2 linked regions of the Macaca fascicularis genome follow. The protein of the gene in region 1 purifies or fractionates together with the protein of each later gene. This does not show direct contact. Links are inferred from orthologs where the notes say so. Each region holds a gene or a part of one and is shown on either strand. Other genes may lie near its edges.

Evidence for each region.
Region 2: the proteins of IRS4 (region 1) and tubulin alpha-1A chain purify together in Homo sapiens (affinity purification with mass spectrometry; 3 studies listed by BioGRID and IntAct, with this or other methods). This does not show direct contact. The link is inferred for Macaca fascicularis from reciprocal best matches to the Homo sapiens genes IRS4 and TUBA1A.

The regions. Positions count from the first base shown.
Region 1 is NC_088395.1:115,335,258-115,339,796, reverse strand, and holds the start of IRS4 (insulin receptor substrate 4), read left to right. Parts: upstream 1-1,693; 5' UTR 1,694-1,912; coding exon 1,913-4,539. UniProt on the Homo sapiens protein: Acts as an interface between multiple growth factor receptors possessing tyrosine kinase activity, such as insulin receptor, IGF1R and FGFR1, and a complex network of intracellular signaling molecules containing SH2 domains.
Region 2 is NC_088385.1:56,001,462-56,005,960, reverse strand, and holds the start of tubulin alpha-1A chain, read left to right. Parts: upstream 1-1,418; 5' UTR 1,419-1,520; coding exon 1,521-1,523; exon of another isoform or gene 1,524-2,079; coding exon of another isoform or gene 2,080-2,082; intron 2,083-3,732; coding exon 3,733-3,955; intron 3,956-4,077; coding exon 4,078-4,226; intron 4,227-4,499. UniProt on the Homo sapiens protein: Tubulin is the major constituent of microtubules, a cylinder consisting of laterally associated linear protofilaments composed of alpha- and beta-tubulin heterodimers.

The sequences.
Region 1 (4,539 bases):
TTTTATAAAATAGTACCCTTTGCCGTATCAACCCTAGAGCAAGGGTGAACTGACATTCCATTCTTTCAGAGAGAAATGCTGTTATTTCCTCCTGTCCCTCCATTCCTCTTTGCAAACGTGGTCACTCCTTTGATAATTCACGACCCATCTCCACCATTAAGAGTCTGAAATCCTAGTCAAGGAATAACTGGGGTGGTGGGGGAGAGAGGGAGAGGAGTCTAAAATTCTAGTCAAGAAATAACTGGGGTGGTGAGGGAGAGAGGGGGGCGGGGGGGGAGAGAGAGAGAGAGAGAGAAAGGGGGAGAGAGAGAGAGAGAGAGAGACTTCAGGAGGTTGCACTTACACTCTGGCAGTTTTTCCAGAAATTAGGGAGGCAGCAGCTCTTACTTTTGTGATGTCAACTTGTAGACTGAAATGCATCAAAGCTCCTCACCTTCTTCTTGTTGACGCGAGGGATGTGAAATGCGCTCTAGAATATGCATTCAGCGTGGTCCTTTGTTCTAGGTATGAGCTTTTCTTTTTCTAAAGTTTTTCGGTCTCGCTCAAGGAAAGGAAAGCAATATTTTGAGATTCTTTTAAAGGCACCTTCCAAAGCATTTCCCACAGAAAAATACCTCACAGCCCAACACTGGTTATTTCAGTAAGAATCGAGTCCAATCTTTTCCAATATGGCTGTATACATTGCAGGCCCCCAAATTTGTGCTTTCGTAGTCATCGTTAATCAAATAGGCAGAAACACTGTATTTAGGGAACCTGTGTTTCGTGGGCTAGAAGTGCATTCTGATTAATAAAGATCATGTTCATTTTGAATTCATCGTGGTTATTCGTGTGCCTTAGAGTCGCGGGCTTCGTCAGGGGTGGAGCGGGCTCGGAAGTGCCTGCAGCGCGGTGGGAAGCGGGTCTGAGCGCCCGGGTCATCAACCCGCTTTCAAGGGGTGCCGACACTTTTTCCCAAGAAGCTCGACCAGCCGCCGTGAGCGACTGGAAAGAATAAACCAGACTGTGACAGGAACAGAGAATGTATGTGATTGACAGGGAATACCAGGGCACCCGACTCCGTCCCGGGTCACCATGGCTCTGGGATTTGCACGAGTTTACCACCACCATTAACAGCTATTTGCGTAAGGTTGTTTACCGCCTGAGAGCGCCACAAGCCGACAGCGAAGCCACTTTGGGACCCCAGCCACGCCCCCTCTCCCCTCTCACCCCTCCCTCCCGCCAAACTAATGAATTCGGGACTGCCTTCTTGCCGGACCCTCCCATTGGCTCCTATTCCAGCCAATCAGAGCCTTGCAACAGTTTCACCTGGCTCCCGCTTCCCAAATAAACAAACAAACCGTCCGGCGACTGTGCGGGCTCTGCACCCCGGCGCCGCCGGCACTGCTTGCGCTCCGCGCCCCCCCCACCACCTCCCACCAATGGGGCCCCGACTGTGGCGCCCTCTCCCAGCCCTGATAGCCGGCCGCTTTCTCCTCTGCCCCTCCAGGCCTTCTCCCGCCCGCTCATGCCTTCCTCGACTCCCGGGTAGAATCTGCTTGGCCAGAGAGCCCCGCCTCCTCCTCTTAGTCCTCTCTTGGCCCACAGGCCTGGAGATTCACCGGGAGGGTGTTGGCACAGCTGGAGGTGGCTCCGCCTCCCAAGCCCGCCGCCTCCTCCCTTGCACACCTCTACTGGTGGCCGCTCGCGCCCCTCCATTGCGCCGGTAGCAGGATCCGCAGCGGCCGCCGCGTGAGGCTTCGGTCACGTGTTGTTTTGCCCGCTGTCGTGCGCTTAGAGTGGAGTGGGCGGGGGCGCGGGCCAAGGCAGGAGGGGGCTGGGGCGGGCAAACGGGGGTAGACAGCCTCTTCCCTCAACCCTCCCTTTCCTGAATTCCCCCTCCTCCTCGCTCACCTTAAAACCATCGTGCATCACCATGGCGAGTTGCTCCTTCACTCGCGACCAAGCGACAAGAAGACTAAGAGGTGCAGCAGCGGCAGCAGCGGCAGCTCTAGCAGCAGTGGTGACCACCCCGCTTCTTTCCTCGGGAACCCCGACCGCACTCATTGGGACCGGGTCGTCTTGTCCGGGAGCCATGTGGCTCTCCACGGCCACTGGCTCCCGGTCAGACTCCGAGTCCGACGAGGAGGACCTCCCCGTCGGGGAGGAAGTCTGCAAACGCGGCTACCTGCGGAAACAGAAGCATGGGCACAGGCGCTACTTCGTGCTCAAACTCGAGACTGCTGACGCCCCAGCTCGCCTGGAATACTACGAAAATGCCAGGAAGTTCCGGCACAGTGTCCGCGCCGCGGCGGCTGCAGCAGCGGCGGCCGCCTCTGGCGCCGCGATCCCCCGGCTCATTCCACCGCGACGCGTGATCATCCTATACCAGTGCTTTTCCGTGAGCCAGAGAGCAGATGCAAGGTACCGACACCTCATTGCCCTTTTCACCCAGGACGAGTACTTCGCGATGGTGGCCGAGAACGAGTCGGAGCAGGAAAGCTGGTACTTGCTGCTCAGCCGCCTCATCCTCGAGAGCAAGCGCCGCCGCTGCGGCACGCTCCGCGCGCAGCCGGACGGAGAGCCGGCCGCGCTGGCGGCGGCAGCGGCAGCGGAGCCACCCTTCTATAAAGATGTGTGGCAGGTAATAGTCAAACCCAGGGGGCTGGGGCACAGAAAAGAGCTGAGCGGCGTGTTCCGGCTGTGTCTAACCGACGAGGAGGTTGTGTTTGTGAGACTGAACACCGAAGTGGCCAGCGTGGTCGTCCAGCTCCTGAGCATCCGTCGCTGTGGACACTCGGAGCAGTATTTCTTCTTGGAAGTAGGCAGGTCCACCGTCATCGGTCCGGGAGAGCTCTGGATGCAGGTCGATGACTGTGTGGTTGCCCAAAACATGCATGAGCTGTTTTTGGAGAAGATGAGAGCCTTGTGTGCAGACGAATACAGAGCCCGCTGCCGCAGCTACAGCATCAGCATCGGCGCCCACCTGTTAACCCTGCTGTCCGCTAGGAGGCACCTGGGCTTGCTGCCGCTCGAGCCGGGAGGCTGGCTCAGAAGGTCCCGCTTTGAGCAGTGTTGCCACCTCAGGGCCATCGGCGACGGGGAAGACGAGATGCTTTTCACCAGGCGTTTCCTAACACCCAGCGAGCCTGTGCCCCACTCCAGGCGAGGAAGACTGCACCTGCCCAGAGGGCGCAGGTCAAGGAGAGCGAGTTCAGTGCCGGCCAGCTTTTTTCACCGCTTAGCACCCAGCCCAGCACGTCCCCCGCACCCTGCAGAAGCCCCGAACAATGGAGCTTGCCTGTCTTCTGAAGTGTCTGGCTCTGGCTCTGGCAACTCTGGGGAGGAAGGCAATCCCCAGGGCAAAGAAGATCAGGAAGGAAGCGGAGGCGACTACATGCCCATGAACAATTGGGGCTCAGGAAATGGCCGGGGCTCAGGAGGTGGCCAGGGCTCAAGTGGCCAAGGCTCCAGTAGCCATAGCTCGGGAGGAAACCAGTGTTCAGGCGAGGGACAGGGATCCCGAAGTGGTCAGGGCTCAAGTGGTGGCCAGGGCTCAAATGGCCAGGGCTCAGGAGGAAACCAGTGCTCTGGAGATGGCCACAGCACCGCAGGTGGGCAAGGTTCAGGTGGTGGCCAGAGACCTGGAGGTGGGCATGGCTCAGGTGGTGGCAAGAACTCTGGAGGGGGCAAAGGCTCAGGAAGTGGGAAAGGATCCGATGCTGATGGTGAACGTGGAAAATCTCTGAAGAAAAGATCCTATTTTGGCAAATTAACTCAAAGCAAGCAACAGCACATGCCACCACCTCCACCACCTCCTCCTCCGCCCCCACCAGCTGGAGCAACTGGTGGAAAAGGGAAGTCTGGGGGAAGATTCCGACTTTATTTTTGTGCTGACAGAGGAGCCACAAAAGAGCGCAAAGAAGCCAAAGAAGTGAAAGATGCAGAGATCCCAGAAGGTGCAGCTCGAGGTCCCCACAGAGCCAGAGCTTTTGATGAAGATGAGGATGACCCATACGTGCCAATGAGGCCAGGGGTGGCTGCCCCTCTTGTAAGCTCCAGTGATTATATGCCAATGGCTCCTCAAAATGTCTCTGCTTCAAAAAAGCGCCACTCTCGATCCCCTTTTGAAGATTCAGGAGGGTACATGATGATGTTTCCCAGAGTGAGCCCACCACCTGCTCCCAGTCCTCCAAAAGCACCTGATACTAATAAAGAGGATGACTCAAAGGACAATGACAGTGAGAGTGACTACATGTTTATGGCTCCCGGAGCCGGTGCAATTCCAAAAAACCCCAGAAATCCTCAGGGTGGCTCTTCCTCCAAAAGTTGGAGCTCCTACTTCTCTCTACCAAACCCTTTTCAGAGCTCACCTTTGGGACAGAGTGACAACAGTGAGTATGTGCCAATGTTACCTGGAAAGTTCCTGGGGAGGGGCCTAGACAAAGAAGTCTCCTATAACTGGGGCCCCAAAGATGCAGCTTCAAAGCCTTCAGGTGAGGGATCATTCTCAAAGCCTGGAGATGGGGGATCACCTTCAAAGCCTTGGGATGATGGGTCCCT
Region 2 (4,499 bases), on another chromosome or scaffold:
AAGGAAAAATTATTTGTAAAAAATAAATTTCCAACTTTAGTGGCCAAACTTACTTACCTCTGAAATTTCATCACCAACATCCAGTGGTACGAAATCCAGTGACTCACTCTGCATAGCCCATCGTTGCTGAGAATGGAGCCTTTCTAAATAGCAAGACAATGTTACTCCAATTTATTTCCTAGGGGTGAAAGCAAAGCCTTTTTGTCCCAAGGGGCAACTGAGCAACCACCAGAGTCTCTAGTTGAATAGCAAGGGTGTGAGGCTGGCTAAAATTCCCACAGTCAGAAGCCCACTCGCAGGAGGATATTTACCAAATTGACATAAGAACTGCATAAAAAGGAAATGCAGTTATTGAGCTGATGTTTCACAGTTGTCTGTAGATGGAGGCAACATTGCAAAATAGTCTTCTTTTTACATTATATTATTCTCTTCTTCTTTTTAATTTGGTGTCTTGGTTATTACTATTATTTTGCTTGTTACTTTCCAGACAAAAGTCCAGTGCAGATATGTAACTGCACACATGTAGTACTAACTTCTGAGCTCAATTATTTCTCCTTGTATTTTCCCAATTTTATATCAGGAAAGATGATTCATTCCAAAGGACAATGCACCACACAAAATGTGTTACATAGACTTCTCATAAAGGAATACCTCTAGTAAACTATTATAACTACTCTACGTGCACTTGCTGTTGATTATTGCCATGTTAGAACTATTTGTTCGCTTCTTTATTTAGTATGGTTATTATTTCCATCTTCCAGTTTTATTTAGCTATTCGAGTGTGCATGTGCCTGCAAAAGAAGCTCTGAAAATAAGTTAGTTGAACCTGAGAAACCATTTTGAATGACTGTATGACTAAATCTTTTTTTTAAATTAAAAAAAATCACAATTACCCAGACCGTTTTGAGCATTACGCCCATTTTCTCTCCCACTTTATTTTTAAAGCAATTAGAGATATTGAACCCTAACAAAATGTAGTCGAGTTTAATATACTGCGAGGGAGGGGCTGGCAGTAATTTTCCTTTAAATATTTAATCTGAACATAAATCTGTTATTAAGGGTAGGGGGAAAAAACCTCACATAGATAATTTTAACTGTATTTTGAGGTTTAAGCAACATAAAGTCTTCCAACCCCAGTCCCCTTTCTTCTTCCGCCCCTCCCCGACCCCACCCCATAATGGATGCTCGGCAGAATGCTTCTGCACGGTCTCTTTGTCTAAAGGATGCAAACAGTCTACGGATGCTAGAGAAAAAGGGGTGGGGGAGAGATTACCTCATCCCACGTCGTTTGCACCAATCACCAGTCTCCTGTCCTGGCTTCTCTGGGCAGATTGGGGGTCTGGACCAACAGGAACAGGCCCCGGCCCATCCCCATGGTGACCGAGTTGTATATATGGAGCCGCATCCGCCCATGTGCCGCAGGTTCTCTTACATCGACCGCCTAAGAGTCGCGCTGTAAGAAGCAACAACCTTCTCCTCCTTGTCTCCGCCATCTGCTCTGCAGTCGCGAAGCAGCAACCATGGTGAGAATCGGCTTTGGCTCTTTGTGGCCGTTGGGTGGAGTCAGCGCCCCCAGGCTCTGCTTGGAAAATCTTTAAGCTCTTTTCTTTCGTAAGCTCTCTGGGCGAGGGTGGTGGTGTGTTTTGTGAGGTTTAGCTTTACCCCAAATCCTCCAGCTCCGCCGCCGCCGCAGTGCGGGTGCAGGAACCCGGCCAGGACTGCGCCCAGGGCGCTGCAGAGCGCTGGGGAGGAACAAAGGCGGCGCCTGGGCGCCTGTGTTGTCCTACAGCCTTTCGGGGTCGCGGGCAGCCCGTCTGCCGCGACCGAGGGGTCTCGGGCGTCCCGGCTGGGTCCAGTGTCTGTGCGCACGGTTTCGCAGACGCCGAGGGGCCCCTTTCTGTCTCGCCTCGTTCTCTGGGGACCGGGAGAGGAGGAGGCACCCAAAAAGAGCGGGGGCGTTGGGCGAGCTGGGGGATGTGGGAGGGGGAACGGGAACAAAGCGCAGCCTGGGGTTAGCGTGGGAAGACCCCTCGCGGTCGTTGGCGTTTTGGAAAGATAACCACACATTCCCGGGGAAACATGGTGAGTTTCTACTGGAGCCCCGGGCAGCGGGTGTCAGGGCGGCGCAGGGGCGGGGTTGTTTGTTTCTGGCTTCTATGGCGTTGGAGCCACTGGGCGGGGTTCGCCCTCACTAAACCTCCTCTGTCAGGAGCTGACTTAAAAAAAACTTTTCATCATTGCGGAACTGTAGGCTCCAAAAGGGTTTTCTTCGCTATTATAATTAAGATGACCTTTTTTTTTCTCTTGAGCAAAATCACAATTCACTTGACAAACTCTTTAATGTCTGGTCTGGGGACGCCCTGCCCTGACCGACTGAAGTGTGTGTGTGTGTGTGTGTGTGTGTGTGTGTGTGCGTGCGTGCTGCTCGTTCAGCGAGGGAGAAAGCCTACTTTGTGAGCCCCAGGGTACCCTGATGGTCGTGTGTGTGTGTGTGTGTGTGTGTGTGTGTGCGCGCGCGCTGCTCGTTCAGCGAGGGAGAAAGCCCACTTTGTGAGCCCCAGGGTACCCTGATGGTCAGGACCAGGGAAACGCCCTTCCCCGCCGCCCCCCTCCGCCCCGCCCCCACCACATCAGCGAATAGACAATGAAAGTGGTAGCCCTAAAGACCACAGAGAAGAAAACCTCTATTGGATGCAAAGAATATGAATATTATGTGGTGGGTAGAGAATCTCAGGATTAAAATACTATTTTGTTGTTTTAAATAAATATTTCACTATCGTTCCACTGGGCTTTTATTCTTTGTTTGCTACCTTTTCATGTGATGCTTGTTTCTAACTTAGGAAGGTGTGTGTGTGTGTGTGTGTGTGTGTGTGTGTGTGTGTGTGTGTGTGAAGATACGGATAATTTTTCAGCTTTTACAGTGGAGAAGATCTGGAAAAACCTTTTTCTTTAAAAAAAGGAATGAAATTGCTACAGACAAAGAAGAATTATACTCCCCATCCCGTTGTCTTTTGTTCTAGTGCATCTTCATTAATTCATTTCAATTCAGGCACATGGTCCCGGGCGGGGTCAGAGGAGGAAAACTGGCAAAACAGCACAATGAGATCATGTAGGCAGTTGCTGGAAATAGAGCTTGCTCTGTTAAATAATGTAGCAGACAGTACAGGCTAGCACCAGGCACAGCAAATACAGCAATGCAGCAATGCAGAAGGCAGAAGCAGACCTTGTCTAAACCCCTTGTATTGATGGATTCTGCAGACAGACTGCAGAAGGGTGTGGCTTCTTGCCTCAGCTGCAGTACAGATGTCCATGTTATAATATCAAGTCAGTCCTATTCAGAAGAAACTTTCTTCTTTATTTAAAAGGGAAGAAAGCAGTAAAATTAATCCCAATTATGTCATAATTGAATTTACTTCATTTTACAAAATTTGTGCTTTGAATACTGAATACTTTTTAAATATGAAAAGTCTTCTATTCAAGCATGGTAGTAGGCACAATGGGCTGGTACCATGTGCTGAACAGGGCCAAGGCGACATCATTATTCAGACCACACCCATATGCAGCATTTGCAGCAGGTCATTTTCCTTAATCTTTGTATCGTGCTAGGGATGTGACCTCAAATAATTTTGAAAAATATCTGTATATTATTAGAAATATTTTTAAAAGTTTACTAAGAGTTTGAAATGCTAATACGCCTTAATTTTACAATTGTTTCACTTTTCCTTCCCACAGCGTGAGTGCATCTCCATCCATGTTGGCCAGGCTGGTGTCCAGATTGGCAATGCCTGCTGGGAGCTCTACTGCCTGGAACACGGCATCCAGCCCGATGGTCAGATGCCAAGTGACAAGACCATTGGGGGAGGAGATGATTCCTTCAACACCTTCTTCAGTGAGACGGGCGCTGGCAAGCATGTGCCCCGGGCCGTGTTTGTAGACTTGGAACCCACGGTCATTGGTGAGTTGACCTCAGTAACCCAAGTGAGATCCCAGGATGCTGGGACAGGAGGTCTGTCCTGGGGGGCTCCGCTAGTCACCCACTCACCCACTCCCTCCATCCTTCTCTCCCTCCTTCTCCAGATGAAGTTCGCACTGGCACCTACCGCCAGCTCTTCCACCCTGAGCAGCTCATCACAGGCAAGGAAGATGCTGCCAATAACTATGCCCGAGGGCACTACACCATTGGCAAGGAGATCATTGACCTTGTGTTGGACCGAATTCGTAAGCTGGTATGTTTCTTTTCAAGAATAAAGTAAATTAATGAGCCTAAAGAACACATTTGAAATACTGCTTTTTTTTTTTTTCAAACAGAATTGAACTGTTATTTTAATAAAGAGTGGAATGAGTCGTTCTTGTGGGGTTTTTATCAGTTAAAATGAACTATTTGGTATCATTTTGTAAATGTTAATGAGAATTTTTTAAAAAGCATTTGTCAAAATAAGATCTAAATCCTGGGAGATGTATGAAAAGTGAAAATATATTTCCTATGATTGTACTACAAA